4 linked regions of the Saccharomyces cerevisiae S288C genome follow. The gene in region 2 interacts genetically with the main gene of each other region. Each region holds a gene or a part of one and is shown on either strand. Other genes may lie near its edges. The genes, in order: MSN1, POG1, MFA2 and MET5.

Region 1 (4,734 bases), on a different chromosome or scaffold from region 2:
AAATTGATGGAAATATATTTGAATTACTTTCTGATACTTTTGAGGTATTGGCACCCAAGTGGGAAAGAGTATTCTTGTTCGACATCGAGAAAGTTGATAGGGAAAATATGATCTGCAAAATTGATTTCCAAAAAAACTTCATGGATCAGTTTCAATGGATTTTAAGAAAGCCTGGCAAGGATTGTAAACTCCAAAATCTCCAGCGTATAATTAGAAAAAAGATATTTATTGCCGTTGTTTGGTATCAAAGGTTAACCATGGGGAATGTATTCACCCCGGAAATTTCTTCCCAAATAGAGATTCTTGTGAAAGATAATGAATGCTCTTCTTTTGAGGAAAATAATGATTTGGAAAGTGTATCTATGTTACTGCAGTATTACATATTGGAGTATATGAACACTGCACGAATAAACAATAGAAGGTTGTTTAAGAAGTGCATTGACTTTTTTGAAATGTTGATATCTAAGTCGCTTACTTTCTCACAAGAATCTGGACTGATGGTAATATTATATACCTCTAAGATTGTATTCATTTTAGACTCTGATTCAGAGAATGATTTATCCTTTGCGCTGATGAGATATTATGATCGGAAAGAAGAGCTAAAAAATATGTTCCTCTATATCTTGAAACACTTGGAAGAGATGGGAAAACTTCGGGAGAGGGATATTACCTCTTTGTTTCACAAGTTCATTCTTAGCGGCTTCATTTTCACGAGCATGATTCTAGAAGCAATTAGCACAGACAAGATTAATCCTTTTGGTTTCGAACAAGTGAAGATTGCGCTAGGCAGCCCTATTGTTAACGTATTAGAAGATGTCTACAGGTGCTTCGCACAACTGGAACTAAGACAGCTGAATGCAAGTATATCTCTTATTCCTGAATTGTCCGTAGTACTAAGTGGAATTATTCAAGATATTTACTATCTGGCGCAGACATTAAAGTTGTGGAGAAAAATTGCACGATTATACTCCTGTATCTCCATAAGTGACATTATAAGTATGCTGCAAATAAGTGATGACAATGAAATGACAAGAGATGATTTGCTAACAATTTTAATGAGGTCAATAATGAAAAATAGATCGGTTGTGTATTTTAAGTTAGATTTGACAAGTGATTTAGTCTATTTCGGAGACGAGAATAAAGTCATGCTACCGAGATGTTCTAAAGAAGAATTTCGTCTTATGATCTCTCCCAAGGATGAAGAAACCACTGAAAAGGCCAGGCTAATAGATTTTGAGTACGTTAACGATGTCGCGATTTATAATAACCCAACAAGAATAAGAACCAAATCCTCTAAAGAATTTTTCAATACATTAAGAAAATCTAGGGAAACTGTAAAATTACCGAGGGTAAGCAACCAGTCGAATGAAGATACTTTTCTACCATCGTATATGAAGTTTTCCAACAAGTACCTCGAGCTGTGCAAACTGGCCTCTAACAATCTGGAATAGAATGTCGATCAGGCACGTTCGTGTAAACATTACGATTTTGGAATTCCACTTACATAAGATAGCTTCTTTGTAAAAGCCGTTCGAAGATTTCGTTTATAGTGATGCTTTTTCTGGAGAGATTTAAGATAATAAGGATATGTGGAAGGAAATGAAAATGTACACCTACAAAGCGTTGATGGTATGGAAACTATCGACCATAGTTTGTTAAACAGGAAATATTTGCTTGAGGGTAAAGTGTTCTGATTCATTATACAAAGCCCCTTGCTTATAAGAAAAGAAACCAAATCAGAAAAGGAGATTATTTCAAGGTAGGCATCGAAATGGCAAGTAACCAGCACATAGGAGCTTCAAACCTAAATGAGAATGAGGCTATATTAACCAACCGCGTTGCTGAGCTGGAAAGGCGTATGTCGATGTTTGAGGGTATATTTCACGCGTTAAGTAACCGTCTCGATCTTCACTTTAAAAAATATGATGTAGTGGTAAACTCCCAACAGCAACAAATCAACGAACTGACCGCGTTTTTATCAACATTGCTGAATGACCAACAACGCCACGCTGAAATTCTCAGTGAAAAATTAAGCGGAACGTTGCATGGGGTGTCAGCTACGTCAATATCCTTAAGCCAAACTCTTGACCCACAAGGCTTCACTGATGGAACTACGGCACCAGGAGCTCCTAGGAATTATACTTCAGTGCCTATGAATAATGATCAAACTGCTCATCCGCAAAATGAAGGAGCTGTTAGTAATGAAACACTTTTTGAGGACATTTTGAATGGAAATTCACAAGAAAATGATAAGAGTCAACAACAAACTAACAGCTCAAATTCTATAAGCCAAGAAAATAATAGCACCAACCCTTCAGTGGACACTCGGTTCAACAAGCCGCAAAATTATAATTCCAATTTAGTCCCATCCTTGGAAGAGTATTCAGCAAATCCACCTAACAATGATGGTGGCCAAAGTCAAGGACTGTACATAAGCAGCAACTCTTCTCAATCACGGCAGTCTCCTAATCTCCAGAAAGTTTCTCCTAACCATGAAAATGCGGTTGAATCAAATGCACAAGAGAGCGTGCCGACATTTGAGGAGGAACAGTATGAGACTAAAACAGGATTGAAACGGAAACGAATAGTCTGCACAAGACCCTTCGAATTTATCAAGTCACCACACTCTGTGATGGAGGTTTGGAAGGAGTATACAGAAGGTGTTAACGGGCAGCCTTCTATAAGGAAAATGGAAGCTCTTTATCAAACGGCATGGAGGCGAGATCCAGCAGTAAATAAAAGATATTCGAGAAGAAAGGTTCTTTGGAAAGCCATTCAAACTGGCCTTAATCGTGGGTATTCATTAAACTATGTTGTTGAAATATTAGAAAACTCAAGATATGTTAATGATAAACAGAAGGTTAAACAACCTATTGGTTGGTTATGCCACAGTTCTCATATTCCAGAGACTTTGAAGTGACATTTGCTTCTTGTGTATTCACCTTTATCCCAAATTAGCCCTTGTAACACTTATGCTTTTCTTAATAAATTAATAATTGGACTTTCCTTTAAAGTGGGTTGTATCTGTAACAATAATCTCTAATAATATCCTATAAAACTCAGAAGTCAGCCAACAACAATTGTATACGTATACATATCTATATAATATGCCTTGTACTTTACGCTCTTGAATTTAGAATAGCTGAACACCTAACTGAATTTAAGTAAAGGATCCCAAGCGTGAGATATTTAGGTTTACTCAGTTTTCTTATCTTGCCTTTTGATTATCACGTTGAGTGTCGAAGAAACCTGTATTCATCCTCGGCTTCTTGTATATGATTCTAAAATAATGTGTGAAAAAAAAAATAAAATAAAAAAAAGAGGAAAATAATATAGAATAACTATTAAGTTTCATTAAAAAAAAACCATTTGAATATACGACCAAAAACGTTACGCTTTCATAAAGTGTGAATAAGCAAGGGAACTATACTTGAAATATGGGGGCAAAGAGTGTAACAGCCTCTTCTTCAAAGAAGATTAAAAACCGGCATAATGGGAAAGTGAAAAAGAGCAAGAAAATCAAGAAAGTACGGAAACCACAGAAGTCTATATCCTTGAACGACGAAAACGAAGTAGAGATTTTACCTAGTCGTAATGAGCAAGAGACAAATAAATTACCTAAAGATCACGTCACGGCGGATGGAATTCTTGTATTAGAACATAAATCTGATGATGATGAAGGATTCGATGTCTACGATGGACATTTCGATAACCCTACTGATATTCCCTCGACTACTGAAGAAAGTAAAACGCCTTCATTAGCAGTGCACGGGGATGAGAAGGATCTTGCTAACAATGATGATTTTATCTCTCTTTCTGCTAGTTCTGAGGATGAGCAAGCCGAACAGGAAGAGGAGAGGGAGAAACAAGAATTAGAAATTAAAAAAGAAAAGCAAAAGGAAATCCTTAATACTGATTATCCATGGATTTTAAATCATGATCACTCCAAACAGAAAGAAATCTCGGACTGGCTAACCTTTGAAATCAAGGATTTTGTTGCCTATATCTCACCAAGTCGTGAAGAAATTGAAATTCGTAATCAAACCATAAGTACAATAAGAGAGGCTGTCAAACAGTTATGGCCAGATGCTGATTTGCACGTGTTTGGATCATATTCTACCGATTTGTATTTGCCTGGTTCCGATATTGATTGCGTGGTAACGAGCGAACTTGGTGGTAAGGAAAGTAGGAATAACTTGTATTCGTTAGCAAGCCATTTAAAAAAAAAAAATTTGGCAACAGAGGTTGAAGTTGTCGCCAAAGCTCGCGTTCCAATCATCAAGTTTGTTGAGCCACATTCAGGGATCCACATAGATGTTTCATTTGAGAGAACAAATGGTATTGAAGCAGCAAAGCTTATTAGAGAGTGGTTGGACGATACCCCCGGCCTGAGAGAATTAGTCCTTATCGTAAAACAATTCCTACACGCAAGAAGACTAAATAATGTGCATACCGGTGGTCTTGGTGGGTTTAGTATTATATGTCTTGTCTTTTCCTTTTTGCATATGCACCCACGTATAATAACTAACGAAATAGATCCAAAGGACAACTTGGGTGTGCTCCTGATAGAGTTTTTTGAACTTTATGGGAAAAATTTTGGTTATGATGATGTTGCACTGGGATCATCGGATGGATATCCAGTATACTTTCCAAAATCGACATGGAGTGCTATTCAGCCTATTAAAAATCCATTTTCATTGGCCATTCAAGATCCAGGTGATGAATCAAATAACA
Region 2 (4,569 bases):
TTTACGAAACTGTTGTTGTCGATTCTGATGGCCACACTGTAACTCCTGCTGCTTCAGAAGTCGCTACTGCTGCTACCTCTGCTATCATTACAACATCTGTGTTGGCTCCAACCTCCTCCGCAGCCGCTGCGGATAGCTCCGCTTCCATTGCTGTTTCATCTGCTGCCTTAGCCAAGAATGAGAAAATCTCTGATGCCGCTGCATCTGCCACTGCCTCAACATCTCAAGGGGCATCCTCCTCCTCCTCCTCCTCCTCGGCAACTTCTACCCTAGAAAGCAGCTCTGTTTCTTCATCTAGTGAAGAAGCTGCTCCAACATCTACTGTCGTGTCAACTTCTTCCGCAACCCAATCTAGTGCTTCTTCTGCCACTAAATCTAGTACTTCTTCCACTTCACCATCTACTTCTACTTCTACTTCCACTTCTTCTACTTCCTCTTCCTCTTCCTCCTCCTCCTCCTCTTCTTCTTCTTCTTCTGGCAGTGGTAGTATCTACGGTGATTTGGCCGACTTTTCAGGCCCAAGTGAGAAATTCCAAGACGGCACTATTCCATGTGACAAATTCCCATCTGGTCAAGGTGTCATTTCTATTGACTGGATTGGCGAGGGTGGATGGTCCGGTGTGGAAAACACCGACACTTCCACTGGCGGTTCATGCAAGGAGGGGTCCTACTGTTCCTACTCCTGCCAACCAGGTATGTCTAAGACCCAATGGCCATCCGATCAACCATCTGACGGTAGATCTGTCGGGGGTTTGTTGTGTAAAAATGGTTATTTGTACCGTTCTAACACTGACGCGGATTACTTATGTGAATGGGGTGTCGAGGCTGCCTATGTTGTTTCTAAACTAAGCAAGGGTGTCGCCATTTGCAGAACCGACTACCCGGGCACTGAAAACATGGTTATCCCAACCTATGTTGAAGGGGGTAGCTCTTTGCCATTGACCGTTGTTGACCAAGATACTTACTTTACTTGGGAAGGCAAAAAGACATCTGCTCAATACTACGTTAATAACGCCGGCGTCTCAGTTGAAGATGGGTGTATCTGGGGTACTTCTGGATCTGGTATTGGTAACTGGGCACCATTAAACTTTGGTGCTGGCTCCACTGGTGGAGTGACATACTTATCATTGATTCCTAACCCAAACAACAGCGACGCATTGAACTACAACGTCAAGATAGTTGCTGCTGATGATTCATCCAATGTCATCGGTGAATGTGTTTACGAAAATGGTGAGTTCTCTGGCGGTGCTGACGGGTGTACCGTCTCTGTTACTTCCGGTAAAGCTCATTTCGTCTTATACAATTAAGCTACGTGACTACTACTTTTCCTTTTTTTTTTCTTTTTTCGAACACATCTCACCCCCTATACCTCACACAATCACTATGGTCCCCTTTTCTTTTTACCGATATTTATACTGTCCACCTTTTTCTTTTCGTTAATGGCCTCAATGTTTCTGTACCATTATCCAAGTGAACTTGTTAGACGACCAAATATAGCCAAGATTCATTACGATTATCTTTAACTAGCAAGTAGTATTCTTGGATAGAGAGATTTTCAAAGACGGAACAATTTTAAATAGATTTACATAAGAAAACACATACTGTCCGATACCCATAAGAAATTTAAGAACTCTTTTCATCTTCAGCTTTCCGGCCTCCTTTTACTGTAGCCTGTTCCTAGACAGCTAAAAATAGTACATATGCAGCTCTGCAATAGTCTCAAAGGGGATATTGTGTAGGTTTACGAAATCATCACATTTCCGAATCAGGACATGAAGGCACAACTTTCCGCACGTAGTGTTTTCAGCCCCCAGCGCCTGTCGGCGCGAAGAGGATCTGCGGAGATGAGCTTTGCCCCGCCATTACCCGTAAAATATTACTGTTTTGGGCAATTGTGGATCAAAAAGGGAAAATGCGGATGGTGAAAAAAATTTTTGGAAATTTACTGCTTCAGATGGGGGAACTTTGTAAGTTCTTCCTTTTTTTTCGTAGAGGTTGGAAAATTCAGAGTGCTAAGAAATTAAAAGGTATGCACTGCCTATTCTCATAAAAGCAAAAGTGCACAAAAATAATAAGGTGTGAAGCAATAGTAGAAAAGACACTGGGAACCCAAGGTATCTTATTTTAACAGATAAGTAAAACTAAGATCAAATCGCGTACTGATATCACTTAAGGTTCGCGTATTTTAAAGGCTACGCAGAAGAGGAAATAAATTGCGTGCAATCCCTGCGCTTAACTCATACAAAAAGGCGCAAAACATTTCAAGAGTCCCACGATTAATTGCAGAAATTGAAAAAAAATAAGTAAAGACGAAAATCAAAGTGGATGCCATATTATGAAGCAGGAGCCACATAGACAATCCGAAGAAAAAGAGAAGCCGAAAGGACCAATGGCTGTTGAACGAGAGCAGCATACCTCATTATCTTCTGGTACAACCGTGACAGCTAGTACAGGAGACGAGAGTACCAACAGTAGACCAGTGGAATCATCGCAAACAGAAAAGTCTCTATCGCTTCGAATAAGAATATTAAAACAACTTGGGTTTGACGATATTCAAGAACTAAATGCATGCGACACTGGCCTAGTGGAGCAATTTTTAAACGTACGATTGATAAACGACACAAAAGAACTAGAAAAGATACGCGAGTCAAATCTTGCGAAACTAAACCAGATTATTGATAAATGTATGGAAAGTGATAAAATAAGTGATTCGACATTAAACAAGATTCTTGATATGTCCATGAATAGAGATACAAATAATGATAACAACAATCATCTTACGATACCGTCTCCGATAACGACAAAGAAACGCAAGATAAACGCCTCCGAACTTGCAAGTCCACGAGGCCATAGAAGATATAGATCTGATATACCTACAGTGTCAGAAGTTGAGACAGGGGTCGGATACCCTCAAATACACCAGCAACCAGGCGCATATACTTTACCTATGCCTGCAAATCAGTGGATGAGCAACCCGTATATGCAACCTCCGCAACCACAAGTGCAACAGATAATGCCGCAGTATTTATATCCACCAGGGATGGGACCACAAGCTCAGCTTCCTACAATGAGCTCAAACTCGGAGTCCCAGACACCAGTGATGAGCTCACAGTTTCTTTCCTTGAACCAGCATGGCCTTTACCAACAAAATATAGGTGCTCATCCGGTAATGAGTATGGGCCCACAGGCAAATATATACGGGCAGCAGCACCAGCTGCAACCTGGTCAGGAACGAGACCAGTCAAGAAAAAGTTTTAGTCATAGAAGGTCACAAAGTGCCAATATTTCCATGGCAAATTTTAGGTCGCCCATGCGAAATCCCCAGCCGGCTTCGTCCCAAAGGCCCGTCAATTTTCTCATTCATACACCAAAACATCCTCCTCCCACATGACGTGCAGTAATTTTCATTTTTATCACCTAATTTCTAAAACTATATCCCTTCCTAACCTTCATTCGATGCATCCGTCCACCTTACTTCAGTTCAAAAAAAAATATATATCCATATATATGCTACAGTGTTATTATTACGATTTCTTTGCCTTTACTCCTTATCTCATTTCAATCATGAATAAACAGGATATTGATAATATATGCTGTCATTTTGGATTCAGTCTGCTTAACTGTCTTGTCCACCCCCGGTGTTCTTACCCGTCTGAGCGGTCGTAAGACGGAGGTAATAATTTTTCAGCATCCTGACCTCCCCCCCAAATCTGTGCCTTTCACCACATTTTTCTCGAGAAAATGTGTCTTGGCTCAGATGATGTCGTATGAGCTACTGGACTTTTTTTTGTTGGCCCTGATGAAAATAGTAATGGCGGTTACAGAACAGATAAACGGCGTCACCATCTTTTCCTAGATAAAGAAGCAATCTCTAGATAATGGGGTATATAAATATACATTGTAAAAACGGCAAGTCAGTTGCTGGTCATTTTAGTAGAAACTCTGCTCTCAAACTTGAGTACTGCAACGATGGCAGGAGCAACATCAAGTATAATTCGGGAAAATGATTTTGAGGACGAGCTTGCGGAGAGTATGCAGTCATATAATAGAGAAACTGCAGACAAATTGGCTTTGACTAGGACCGAGAGTGTAAAGCCAGAACCGGAGATAACCGCTCCGCCTCACTCACGCTTTTCCCGTTCTTTCAAGACAGTTTTAATAGCTCAGTGCGCTTTCACTGGGTTTTTCTCCACAATAGCAGGTGCCATCTACTATCCAGTTCTGAGCGTTATAGAAAGAAAATTCGATATTGACGAGGAATTGGTGAATGTCACTGTTGTAGTATATTTTGTATTTCAGGGTCTTGCCCCCACATTCATGGGCGGGTTTGCCGATTCACTGGGCAGGAGACCGGTGGTGCTTGTCGCAATCGTCATTTATTTTGGTGCCTGCATCGGTCTTGCTTGTGCTCAAACGTATGCTCAGATCATTGTGCTAAGATGTCTACAAGCCGCCGGTATTTCACCCGTGATTGCGATTAACAGCGGAATAATGGGAGATGTTACTACTAGAGCCGAGCGCGGCGGGTACGTTGGATATGTTGCTGGATTTCAAGTTCTAGGTTCTGCG
Region 3 (3,486 bases), on a different chromosome or scaffold from region 2:
CGAGAAAAAACTCTAATATGGACATTGGACAAAAAATGAGATCGAAGGAACTGAATAGTGTTCAAGAAGAAATCGATGACAATGGTAGTACTACTAATACCAATACTTCTGTTCTATCTTCCACTTTTTCTCCCACAGCACATTCTGTTTTAACGGCACAAACATCCATCCATGAAAACTTCAGAAGTAGATCGAATTCCAACCCTATAGATCCTTTGCGCTGTGATCGGTCAGTGTTGAAAATTAATAATTTTGAACCGGTATACGAGGGAACAGGAAGGTCAACTATTTCGAATTCTGCTGAGCGTACGAATCGTGAAGAAAAGTTAAACCGTGGCAATGAAGATGTAAATGGAGATGAAGATGATGACGAAGACGAAGACGATGCTAATTACGAAGAGGATGATGAAGATGGATATGTTGAGGATGATGACATCAATAGATTGGTATATTTGGATGAAAGAGAATCTCGCTATGAGAATGCGGACGTTGAGTACGGTACAATATTCAGTACGAAAAGCTTTTCCGTGACTGGTTGTTTAAATCATGATTTTCCAAAGAAATTGTCACTAAAATGTGGAAATAAGAATCAATCCAGTAACGATTCGAAGTGGGCACCGGCGACACAACTAGTTTCAAGGAAAAGATATATCAAAGACTCATTAAGATGCATCAAACCGTTAACGGAAGACCACCCATGGGTAGGTAAGATTATTTTCAAACCGGCACTGCCACCAGCATTCGAAACGAATAATCCACCTATAAGAGTTTATAGTGGTGAAGATAGTACGGACTTGATGCACGTGAAAAACCATTATTTAAAGCCATACATAGTGGGATCCTGCGGGTTTTTGAAAACTGGCTCAAAACTTTTTCACTTTTACGATAGAACTAACGACCTTACGAATTTATGAAATATATGTGTTTTTAATGATTAAATAATAGTCAAAAATATAATTAAAAAAAAAATCGAATGTAATGGGTGGTTCATCTTTCATTTCCTGCGGAGGGAAAGGCGTATCAGAAAAGAAAAACATGAAAAAATCTGTTAAAGTGATAACTACAAATACATATGTATAAAAGTATGAAAAAGTATGGAAAGGGTGAGCTAATGATGAGAGAATTGGAATAAATTAGTTTGCCAGCAACACGTAATAAATGAAAGGGTAGATATTGATTTGACCTCTTGGTTGTCGTCAAAAATTAAGCGATAACACAGGCGGGATCCCAGAAGAGGCCCTTGATTATATAGTTGTCTTTCTTTTCAGAGGATTTATCCTTCTGAGTGGCTTGTGTGGAAGCAGTGGTGATCGGTTGCATTAAGGTTGGTAGTTATTGTTGTATGAAGATGATAGCTCGCTGGTGTCTCTAGTGATGTCAATGAACGGATGAACGACAGAAGAAGTGGATGGAAATAAAATGGTTATTTATCAGATATTTATATACAAAATTACGTGGTAATGCAACAGCTTTTTCCTCTCGCTTTGTTCTTTTTCCTCTGACATGCATGTTTCATTTTCGTTCCTTATGGCATCCATGTCATGTAAATTTCCCGAATAGGTAAATACATGCTTTTTTAACTTAAAAAATTATGGGCGTCCTATGCATGCACTTAACGGAAAAGGAAACTATCAATTAATTATGTAGTAGATGGTGTACCTATTATTGCATTAGTATTTGTTTCAAATGAAAACATGCTGCTTTAACTTTTCTAATTTATACCATAAACGGTATAGTAATGATGAAACTGAAAAATAAAAAAATAAACAGTCTGGTCTTATCGACCATGTTAACATCATCAAAATCCACCAAGTTTTCCGAGAAAATAGATGAGGGCCTGTTATTATTACTAACTGAGTTTGAATTCTTTTTGTAAAATCGTGGCAGTAGTTCTTGAAATGTCATTTTGAAGGACACTGAGTTTCGAAATATCAACATTATGAGTATGAATAAAAGTGTAAGGATAATGATCCTTTTGAGTTCCATGTGATGAGAAGTGGTATGCTTAGTATTGCTCATACTGGACAAATACGAAAGGAATCAGTAAATAATTAAGATTGTAGAGGGAGGGGTGTATGTGTATGCGGATACTTTTTTGATTTGGCAGAAGGAAAATTGGTATTGGCAGCTGTACAGTGACTCCCCTTATACAAATGATCTCAGTTTGTTTCGTTTTTCCTCATTCTCTGGCTTTAGACTTCAAATCGCGGTGTAAAAAAAATAGGACAAAACTATGTAGCGCATACTATGTCAGTCAGGTATTGAGAATATGTAAAGAAATGCCATACCGTGATTTGATTTTGTTTTCAACTGTAAGGAAGGGAGTTTATATGAGATTATATTATTAAACCTATTTTTGCATATATAGTACATCAGAACCTTCGGCGGAACTTAAAGAGACCAAAATAGTACCTCTTATGACGGTCAAACCTAGCTTTCTTGCGTTTTTAGAAATCAGTTCAGTGTTGTTTTCATCATCAGGATTAGACATATATTCTACTGTATCATCAAGTACCAAGTTCATCAGTTGATCATAGCCTTTTAGGACACCTATAACTAATTTACCACCCATTAATTTGACGCGAATTTTAGAATCTTTATACTTCGCTAAATCCAGAATAGCTTCTCTTTTAGGGCCTTCGAATTTTTTCCTTTGCTGTTGTGGTTTGTTCTCTGATTTCTTAGTTCAAAAAGGAAACATAGTTATTATAATGTTAGTATAAATAAGTCAAAAGGAAGGTTATTGCCACGGAAGAAAATAAGAAGTGAAACATACGGAGTGTTGCTGATGCATGTTTTTTTGGTTAATGTTCTGTGTAGTAAACAAAGTGCTGCTCTCAAATAACTTTCTTTTTTACTGTAGTAGTATACACGTACATGCGTATTCTTAATTGTCGTTTCCCAGTTGTCTGTTTTCAGCTACAGCTTTTTTCGCCTTTGTTCGAAAGAACAGTACTTTTTTCCGGCTCGCAGGGAAACGGCAGTTGAAGAAGACAAGCGACAAGAACATAGAGCAACGAATTCAAATAAAGAGATAGAAAAAAAAATTACATGGCAAAACTATGGTTAGAGTTGTCATAGAGAGTGAATTGGTCCGTACAGAAAAGGAATTACCAAATTCGCTTAAATTAAGGCAGTTCAAGGACCGATTGTACCATGTTACCGGAGTGGAACCAGAGGATATGGAAATAGTTGTGAAAAGACAGTACGACAACAAGGAGATATATAGTACTAAAAAGGGGGGTGCCTATTCAAATGAGGATGAAGATGCCAACTTCCTAAAAGGAGAGGAGGAGCTTATTGTGGTTGTTACAGACTCTAATGCCCAATCAATCTCTAACCAGCTGGCCACGCAAGCGGAAGGAATCCCCTCAATGGAAGTAATTAGCGAGGAGGATTATTTGCGAAGGGATCAATCCGTATTACGATGGAAGATGGCTCACGGCTATGGTAGGTTTAATGCTGCACAGCAGAGCCAGCGCGCTG
Region 4 (7,891 bases), on a different chromosome or scaffold from region 2:
TTTTTTGAAGATCTTCGGGAAAAATGAATTAACCATCTTTTGAAATAATTGTTCACCAGTTTCTTCGAAGTTCCACATTTCATCAGTTATTTGAATCAAAAAAATTAATCTGGCAGATTCGGACCGAAAAATTATCCTTGTTTGTTCGCCAATATATCCAGAAACAATCTTCTTACCATTTCGATAAATTCCCTTAATAGTACCTCTGATAGAGTCTAAGAATGCCAGTCTTTGATCCATAAACACACATGTATCTACCAGCTTAGATGATAGAACCCACATATCACCTCTATTTAGTAGGCAATCTTTGATATTAAACTCTACCACATCTGCCTGTAAGTCAAATTTGTTTGGTTTCAATTTTATCCATATCCTAGACCTAGAAGGCAAATCTAACAAAGTTTGCAGTTGACCCGAAAGTATTGAAACATTAGATGTTTTTGCCCTTCTTTTAGTCTCTCCGTCAAAATCTTTTGCAATAAAATAAATTTTCTTATCTCCGTTCGATGCAGATGGATTTTTGTGATATGTTTTCAATTCTACCAAATCACCAGGTTTTATATCCGGGAACTCAACTAGATTTAGCATCACTAAATTCTCGGAAAATCGGGACTCATGATAGCCTAATTCAGCTTGATACGCCTTTATTTTCAGTCCTGGAATATGATGGCGATGGACCCGTTCCCCATTGTCATAATTGTTGTCACCACCATTGTTGACGTTATCGTCATTTTCCTTATTTGAAATCAGCTTTCTGCCGGAAGCCCTTTGTTGAGAACCAAACTGCTCTTTCTTTTGTCTTAAATTTCTATTGGAACCTACTATCAAATTACCCGATGATAAGGATATGCTATTTGCGTGAGTAGTATTGCTAGTCCTTGGAGTTTGTGAATTGATGGAAGAAATTGGTCTTTGTTTCTTCCCATGCAATTTAGCGAACATCCTTAAAAAGTGTCCCTTGTCAGTGCTGAGTTATTTCCCTGCTTAAAAAGTAGTTACAGAAACAATTCGTTGTTCTGTCACTTACTATCTTTTAAACAATAATGATTAACATAGATAGTGATTCAAATAGTCACGTGATCTCTTTTAGAGAAAGGACTTAATCCGTACACAATGATTTAATTTTTCATTACCTTATAATGTGATAGTCATAATAGCAATGAAGGATTAGTAATTACCAATATAAGAGCTCTAGCACATTAGCTATGAATTTGTCAGCCGCACCAAACTAACATAAAGGTCTTACTATGTTAAAAGTTCTTGTCCTTGAATAGAAATAAATGAATGAATCTAGTACCCTTCCCCATTCACCTAAGTTGGCTAGCCATATTTTCGGAAAAAGAGTGGGAGGAACAAGATGCTAGATAAACAAATATTCATGTTATTAAGCTTAGAATTTTGGCTCTGTTTTGTTTATTTCCAGATTTCTATTTTCTGCTATTCATCCAAAATATATTTTCTCACAAAAGCTGTTAATTTGAAACTAATGTTAAACAAAACATCTCACTTCAAATTGAAGCCAAATTAGAACCTAAGTAACCAACACACGCACAACTTTCATCCCTTATCCCACTTCTTTGAAAACTTTTAGAAGCCATTGATGGTATTGTACATTTACCTATCTTAGCAGATTCCTTATTAGCCGCCGAAATGGGTAATAAGTATTATAATCACTAAATACGAAAAATTTATTCATACCAACCCGCAACATGAACTACAAACCTTTGGGTATATAATGACAAAGACGTATCAAACCAACACATAAGGCTATTTTCAGGCAACTAATATGCTGTTTTATCTGCGGAATTTCACCAACTGACTTTTACTAAGCACTCAATAAAGATGCAGGTAAAATACGTGGATTTATGAATCCGGGTAATATAATTTGTCCACGTGATATTTCACAGAATGAATTTCATCACGTGCGTATTATCTCTTAACTCATAATGCCACAATTACCACCACACAGAGGCAGGAATGGTTTAACTGCTAAGAGACACTGGAAAATTTGAGTCATGGAGATGCGACGAATTACTGGCCGCTGCAAGCAGTTATATAAAGTGTTGGAAGACGATAGTTTTTAATGTGAAATAAAATTGGGATATAGAAAGGTTCCTTTGCTTGTTATTTTTTTTCCATCGTCTTGATATTTATTCAGATCCCTTATATACTAATAAAGTAACAGTAGGGAACGGGAACCAGAGAAAAACAAAAGATTGGCGAATGACTGCTTCTGACCTCTTGACGCTCCCACAATTGTTGGCGCAATATTCCTCTAGTGCTCCCCAAAATAAAGTGTTCTACACTACTAGCACAAAAAATAGTCATTCATCCTTCAAAGGGCTAGAATCTGTTGCCACAGATGCTACTCATCTATTGAACAATCAAGATCCATTGAATACCATCAAAGATCAACTCTCTAAGGACATTTTAACTACCGTTTTTACAGATGAAACTACTTTGGTCAAATCCATCCACCATCTATATTCTCTTCCTAATAAACTTCCATTGGTGATTACAGTGGATTTGAATTTGCAAGATTATTCCGCAATTCCTGCGTTAAAGGATCTTTCTTTCCCCATCTTAATATCTTCTGATTTGCAAACTGCAATTTCAAACGCGGACTCTTCTTATAAGATTGCTACAAGTTCTCTGACCCCAGTTTTCCATTTTCTTAACTTGGAGAAAATTGGCACGAGTACAGCTATTGAACAAGACATCGACTTTCCTACCTTGGAGATTGCTAACGAAGAGACTAAAGTAGCATTATCAGAAGCTACTGATTCATTGACAAATTTTGAACTGGTTAAAGGTAAAGAGTCAATTACCACTGTCATTGTTAACCTGTCACCATATGACGCGGAATTCAGTAGCGTATTGCCTTCAAACGTAGGATTGATCAAGATTAGAGTATACAGACCATGGAATTTTTCCAAGTTCTTGGAAATACTGCCATCTTCTGTTACCAAAATCGCCGTTTTACAGGGTGTCTCTAAGAAATCGCAATCAAACGAATTTCAACCATTTCTTTTGGACTTCTTTGGCAATTTTAATGAATTAGTTTCTAGGAACATCGAGCAGGTAGTGTTGACTAATATTGGTAATGTGAATGATTATGGCAACGTTATCAACACCGTCATATCGAATATTAACAAGAAGGAACCAGATAATAACTTATTTTTAGGTGAATCCAATGAAAAGGCTGAGGAACAAGCTGAAGTTACTCAACTTATTTCTTCTGTCAAAAAAGTTGTGAACTTAGAAGACGCCTATATCAAAGTGCTAAAACAGTTATTTTCATCAAATCTACAAATTTTGAATCAATTTTCCAGTGAGACAATTGAACCAAGTAATCCAGAATTTGGTTTTGGACGCTTTTTAAAACAAGAAGCCCAGCGTGAAGAATTGATCAGCTTAGCAAAAACCTCTCTTGATCCAAGTCTTTACTTGTCCGAGGATGCAAATAAAATTGTTCAACTATTATCTAAATGGTTGTCATTCAATGGACGCGATCTTGACGAAGCTCAATTACAAGAGGCCAATGCGACAGGTTTGGAAATATTTCAGTTATTACAATCTAATCAAGATTCCTCTACTGTCTTAAAATTCTTAAAGATAGCTCCAACAAGCGATTCTTTTATTTTCAAATCAAGCTGGCTAATTGGCTCCGATGCCTGGTCTTATGATTTGGGTCACTCAGGTATTCAACAGGTTTTATCCTCCCGTAAAAACATTAATGTTTTATTGATTGATTCAGAGCCATATGACCATAGAAAGCAAAACCAGGATAGAAAGAAAGATGTTGGTTTGTACGCCATGAATTATTACAGTGCCTATGTTGCCTCTGTAGCAGTATATGCTTCTTACACCCAACTATTGACTGCAATAATAGAGGCATCTAAATACAATGGTCCTTCTATTGTCTTGGCTTATTTGCCGTATAATTCCGAAAATGATACTCCATTAGAAGTCTTAAAGGAAACCAAAAACGCCGTTGAATCTGGTTACTGGCCATTGTATAGGTTTAATCCTGTTTATGACGATCCATCAACAGATAAGGAGGCATTTAGCTTGGATTCTTCGGTTATCAGAAAACAATTACAGGACTTCTTAGACCGTGAGAATAAGCTTACCCTATTAACCAGAAAAGATCCATCTTTGTCAAGAAATCTAAAGCAATCTGCTGGTGATGCGTTGACAAGGAAACAAGAAAAAAGAAGCAAGGCTGCCTTCGATCAGTTATTGGAGGGTTTGTCCGGCCCACCGCTACACGTCTATTATGCTTCTGACGGTGGTAATGCTGCAAACTTGGCAAAGAGACTAGCAGCAAGGGCATCTGCAAGAGGTTTAAAGGCTACTGTTCTGTCCATGGATGACATTATTTTGGAAGAATTACCTGGTGAAGAGAATGTAGTTTTCATTACTTCCACGGCTGGGCAAGGTGAATTCCCCCAAGACGGTAAGTCTTTCTGGGAAGCTCTGAAAAATGACACCGACTTGGATTTAGCTAGTTTGAATGTTGCTGTTTTTGGTCTCGGTGATTCTGAGTATTGGCCACGTAAAGAAGATAAACATTATTTTAACAAGCCTTCACAGGATTTATTTAAGCGCTTGGAATTATTGAGTGCCAAAGCCCTAATTCCCTTGGGACTGGGTGATGATCAAGATGCTGATGGTTTCCAAACTGCTTATTCTGAGTGGGAACCTAAATTATGGGAAGCTCTTGGTGTTTCCGGCGCTGCTGTTGATGATGAGCCAAAACCTGTTACAAACGAGGATATTAAGAGAGAATCTAATTTCTTGAGAGGTACTATCAGTGAGAACTTAAAGGATACTTCTTCAGGTGGTGTTACTCACGCTAATGAACAATTAATGAAATTTCACGGTATTTACACCCAAGACGATCGTGACATTAGAGAAATACGTAAGTCACAAGGCTTAGAGCCATACTATATGTTTATGGCAAGAGCTCGTTTACCAGGTGGTAAGACCACTCCACAACAATGGCTTGCTCTGGATCACTTATCTGATACTTCAGGCAATGGTACCCTGAAATTAACAACAAGGGCAACCTTCCAGATTCATGGTGTGCTAAAGAAGAACTTGAAACACACATTGAGAGGAATGAATGCAGTTCTTATGGATACATTAGCTGCTGCAGGTGACGTGAACAGAAATGTCATGGTTTCTGCTCTACCAACCAATGCCAAGGTTCACCAACAAATCGCTGATATGGGAAAATTGATTTCTGATCATTTCTTACCAAAGACTACGGCCTACCACGAAGTTTGGCTGGAGGGCCCAGAAGAACAGGACGATGATCCATCCTGGCCATCTATTTTTGAAAACAGAAAAGATGGTCCAAGAAAAAAGAAGACTCTAGTTAGCGGTAACGCTTTGGTCGATATTGAACCAATTTACGGTCCAACTTATCTGCCAAGAAAGTTTAAATTCAACATCGCCGTTCCTCCATATAACGATGTGGATGTATTATCTATCGATGTCGGTTTAGTTGCTATAGTTAACCCAGAAACTCAAATCGTGGAGGGTTATAATGTTTTTGTTGGTGGTGGTATGGGTACCACTCATAACAACAAGAAAACTTACCCAAGATTAGGGTCATGCTTAGGTTTTGTTAAAACTGAAGACATTATTCCACCACTTGAAGGTATCGTTATTGTCCAAAGAGATCACGGTGACCGTAAAGACCGTAAGCATGCTCGTTTAAAGTATACTGTAGATGATATGGGTGTCGAAGGCTTCAAGCAAAAAGTGGAGGAATACTGGGGTAAGAAATTCGAGCCTGAGAGACCATTTGAGTTTAAATCTAATATTGATTACTTTGGATGGATTAAAGATGAAACTGGGTTAAACCACTTTACCGCATTTATTGAAAATGGTAGGGTTGAAGATACACCAGATTTGCCTCAAAAGACAGGTATTAGAAAGGTTGCTGAATACATGCTTAAGACTAATTCTGGTCATTTCAGATTGACTGGTAATCAACATTTGGTTATCTCTAATATTACAGATGAACATGTTGCTGGAATAAAATCTATTTTAAAGACCTATAAATTGGATAACACCGATTTCAGCGGTTTGAGATTATCTTCATCTTCCTGTGTTGGTTTGCCAACATGTGGTTTAGCGTTTGCCGAATCTGAACGTTTCCTACCTGACATTATTACTCAGTTGGAAGATTGTTTAGAAGAGTATGGTTTACGCCATGATTCCATTATTATGAGAATGACTGGTTGCCCTAACGGTTGTTCTCGTCCATGGCTAGGTGAATTAGCTCTTGTTGGTAAAGCTCCACATACTTATAACTTGATGCTTGGTGGTGGTTACCTCGGCCAAAGGCTAAACAAATTGTATAAGGCCAATGTGAAGGATGAGGAAATTGTCGACTACATCAAACCATTGTTTAAAAGGTATGCTTTAGAAAGAGAAGAAGGGGAACACTTTGGTGATTTCTGTATAAGAGTAGGTATCATTAAACCAACCACCGAGGGTAAATACTTCCATGAAGATGTGTCTGAAGATGCCTATTAATGATAGCATATGACATAGTAGGACATACTATTGGGTTTTCTTCCCACATTTATTTATTTTTTTCGCAATTGAATATAACTTTTTATTTTATAGAAACATATTTATTTGTATAATCTTGTATATTAACAGTTAAGACTCATTATTGTTATCCTTCGGCTAGTTCGGTTTTTCAATAGCAGATGAGAAACGAAAACTATGAAGAATGAAAACGAGGTGAAGAATAAAATCATATAACAAAATATTGAAAAGAATGACGGCCGTAACTGATATCATCGATGAATTGAATGATTCGAGTCTTTCTTCTACAAGGCTTCGAGAGTTGTGTCTCCAGTTACGAAAGAAGACAGATACTGGATGTGCAATTACGGTGTCCGATGAGGTCAACCTTATTGAATCTCTCTCATATCACTCCATATCTCCAGGAGTAGACATACAAATCAACACAGATGTTTTGCAGACTATAGATTACTACTTTCAGCGTAACAAAAGTGAACATGACGAAATTATGTGCGTCCTTATTTCTAAGTTACAGCCACTACTTTTAAAACGCAAAAGCAACTTCGAACTCAAAGAGCAACGTAATCTTGGTCTCAAACCCACGCTTGGAATGTCTTTGAAAGAAGATAACCTAATGCAGGCGTGGGTAAGTCAGGGTGGCTTGAAAGGCATTCCGTTATTCTACGTAATTCTGTTACATTTGAAAAGGAGAGACATATCTACGAATCTTTCTTGGATTATTCCAGGAATTCTAAACATACTAGATGATACCACTGATATAAGAAGAATTAAACTTCGTGGTGTTCTGCTCCTACAGACGCTATTAAATCATACCTTTATGAACGAAACCAATGACTCAAAATGGATACAGTTCTCTAGTACTGGTTTATTTCCACTGTTCGAAAAGACGCTAATCAATATGTGCTATTTTCTCCCTCCCTCATACAATGCTGATGAAACAATAGCCATATGGCGGGTCGTTTTCCCAACGATACAGTCGTTATATAAAGTAGAATTTTTGGACAATTACACAAAGTATCAATATCACCTGGAAAAGTTCATGTCAGAGATAATCTTGCAAAACATAATTCCTAGGGCTAGCCTTGCATACGAAAATTTGACGTTATACGCATTGGAATGCACAATGAACATACTGAGACTTCAAAGAGAAGGGTCTGTTGTACATCTCCAGAGGCTGATTTTTGTTTTAGGTGAATATATTGTACGAAATCCTTTTTACACAACTTTTCCAAAACTTATTTCAAAAACTCTTTCAGTGGTAAGTACTCTCATAAAGGTTTGCCCGAATGAAAGAATAGTGGCTCACAGATTCGACATTTTA

The links.
Region 1: mutations in POG1 (region 2) and MSN1 together harm fitness less than expected from each alone (positive genetic interaction), as found in Saccharomyces cerevisiae (one large-scale study listed by BioGRID).
Region 3: mutations in POG1 (region 2) and MFA2 together harm fitness more than expected from each alone (negative genetic interaction), as found in Saccharomyces cerevisiae (2 studies listed by BioGRID).
Region 4: mutations in POG1 (region 2) and MET5 together harm fitness more than expected from each alone (negative genetic interaction), as found in Saccharomyces cerevisiae (one large-scale study listed by BioGRID).

Annotation. Positions count from the first base shown.
Region 1 is NC_001147.6:98,038-102,771, forward strand, and holds MSN1 (Msn1p), read left to right. Parts: upstream 1-1,771; coding exon 1,772-2,920; downstream 2,921-4,734. Other genes in the region: RRI2 (Rri2p), read left to right, coding at 1-1,451; non-canonical poly(A) polymerase PAP2, read left to right, coding at 3,438-4,734. UniProt on the Saccharomyces cerevisiae protein: May function as a transcriptional activator. Increased dosage of MSN1 restores invertase expression in yeast mutants defective in the SNF1 protein kinase, and msn1 disruption reduced derepression of invertase in the wild-type. May affect SUC2 expression.
Region 2 is NC_001141.2:128,275-132,843, forward strand, and holds POG1 (Pog1p), read left to right. Parts: upstream 1-2,335; coding exon 2,336-3,391; downstream 3,392-4,569. Other genes in the region: putative glucosidase SIM1, read left to right, coding at 1-1,307; QDR2 (cation transporter), read left to right, coding at 3,970-4,569. UniProt on the Saccharomyces cerevisiae protein: Transcriptional activator which promotes cell cycle recovery with CLN2, after pheromone induced G1 arrest, probably inhibiting the ability of STE20 to activate the pheromone response pathway.
Region 3 is NC_001146.8:350,248-353,733, reverse strand, and holds MFA2 (mating pheromone a), read right to left. Parts: upstream 1,321-3,486; coding exon 1,204-1,320; downstream 1-1,203. Other genes in the region: MPF1 (Mpf1p), read left to right, coding at 1-914; YNL146W (uncharacterized protein), read right to left, coding at 1,717-2,019; YNL146C-A (uncharacterized protein), read left to right, coding at 2,154-2,348; Sm-like protein LSM7, read right to left, coding at 2,351-2,680, 2,777-2,794; ALF1 (Alf1p), read left to right, coding at 3,063-3,486. UniProt on the Saccharomyces cerevisiae protein: The active factor is excreted into the culture medium by haploid cells of the A mating type and acts on cells of the opposite mating type (type alpha).
Region 4 is NC_001142.9:677,618-685,508, reverse strand, and holds MET5 (sulfite reductase (NADPH) subunit beta), read left to right. Parts: upstream 1-2,223; coding exon 2,224-6,552; downstream 6,553-7,891. Other genes in the region: GTPase-activating protein IML1, read right to left, coding at 1-942; TTI2 (Tti2p), read left to right, coding at 6,803-7,891. UniProt on the Saccharomyces cerevisiae protein: Catalyzes the reduction of sulfite to sulfide, one of several activities required for the biosynthesis of L-cysteine from sulfate.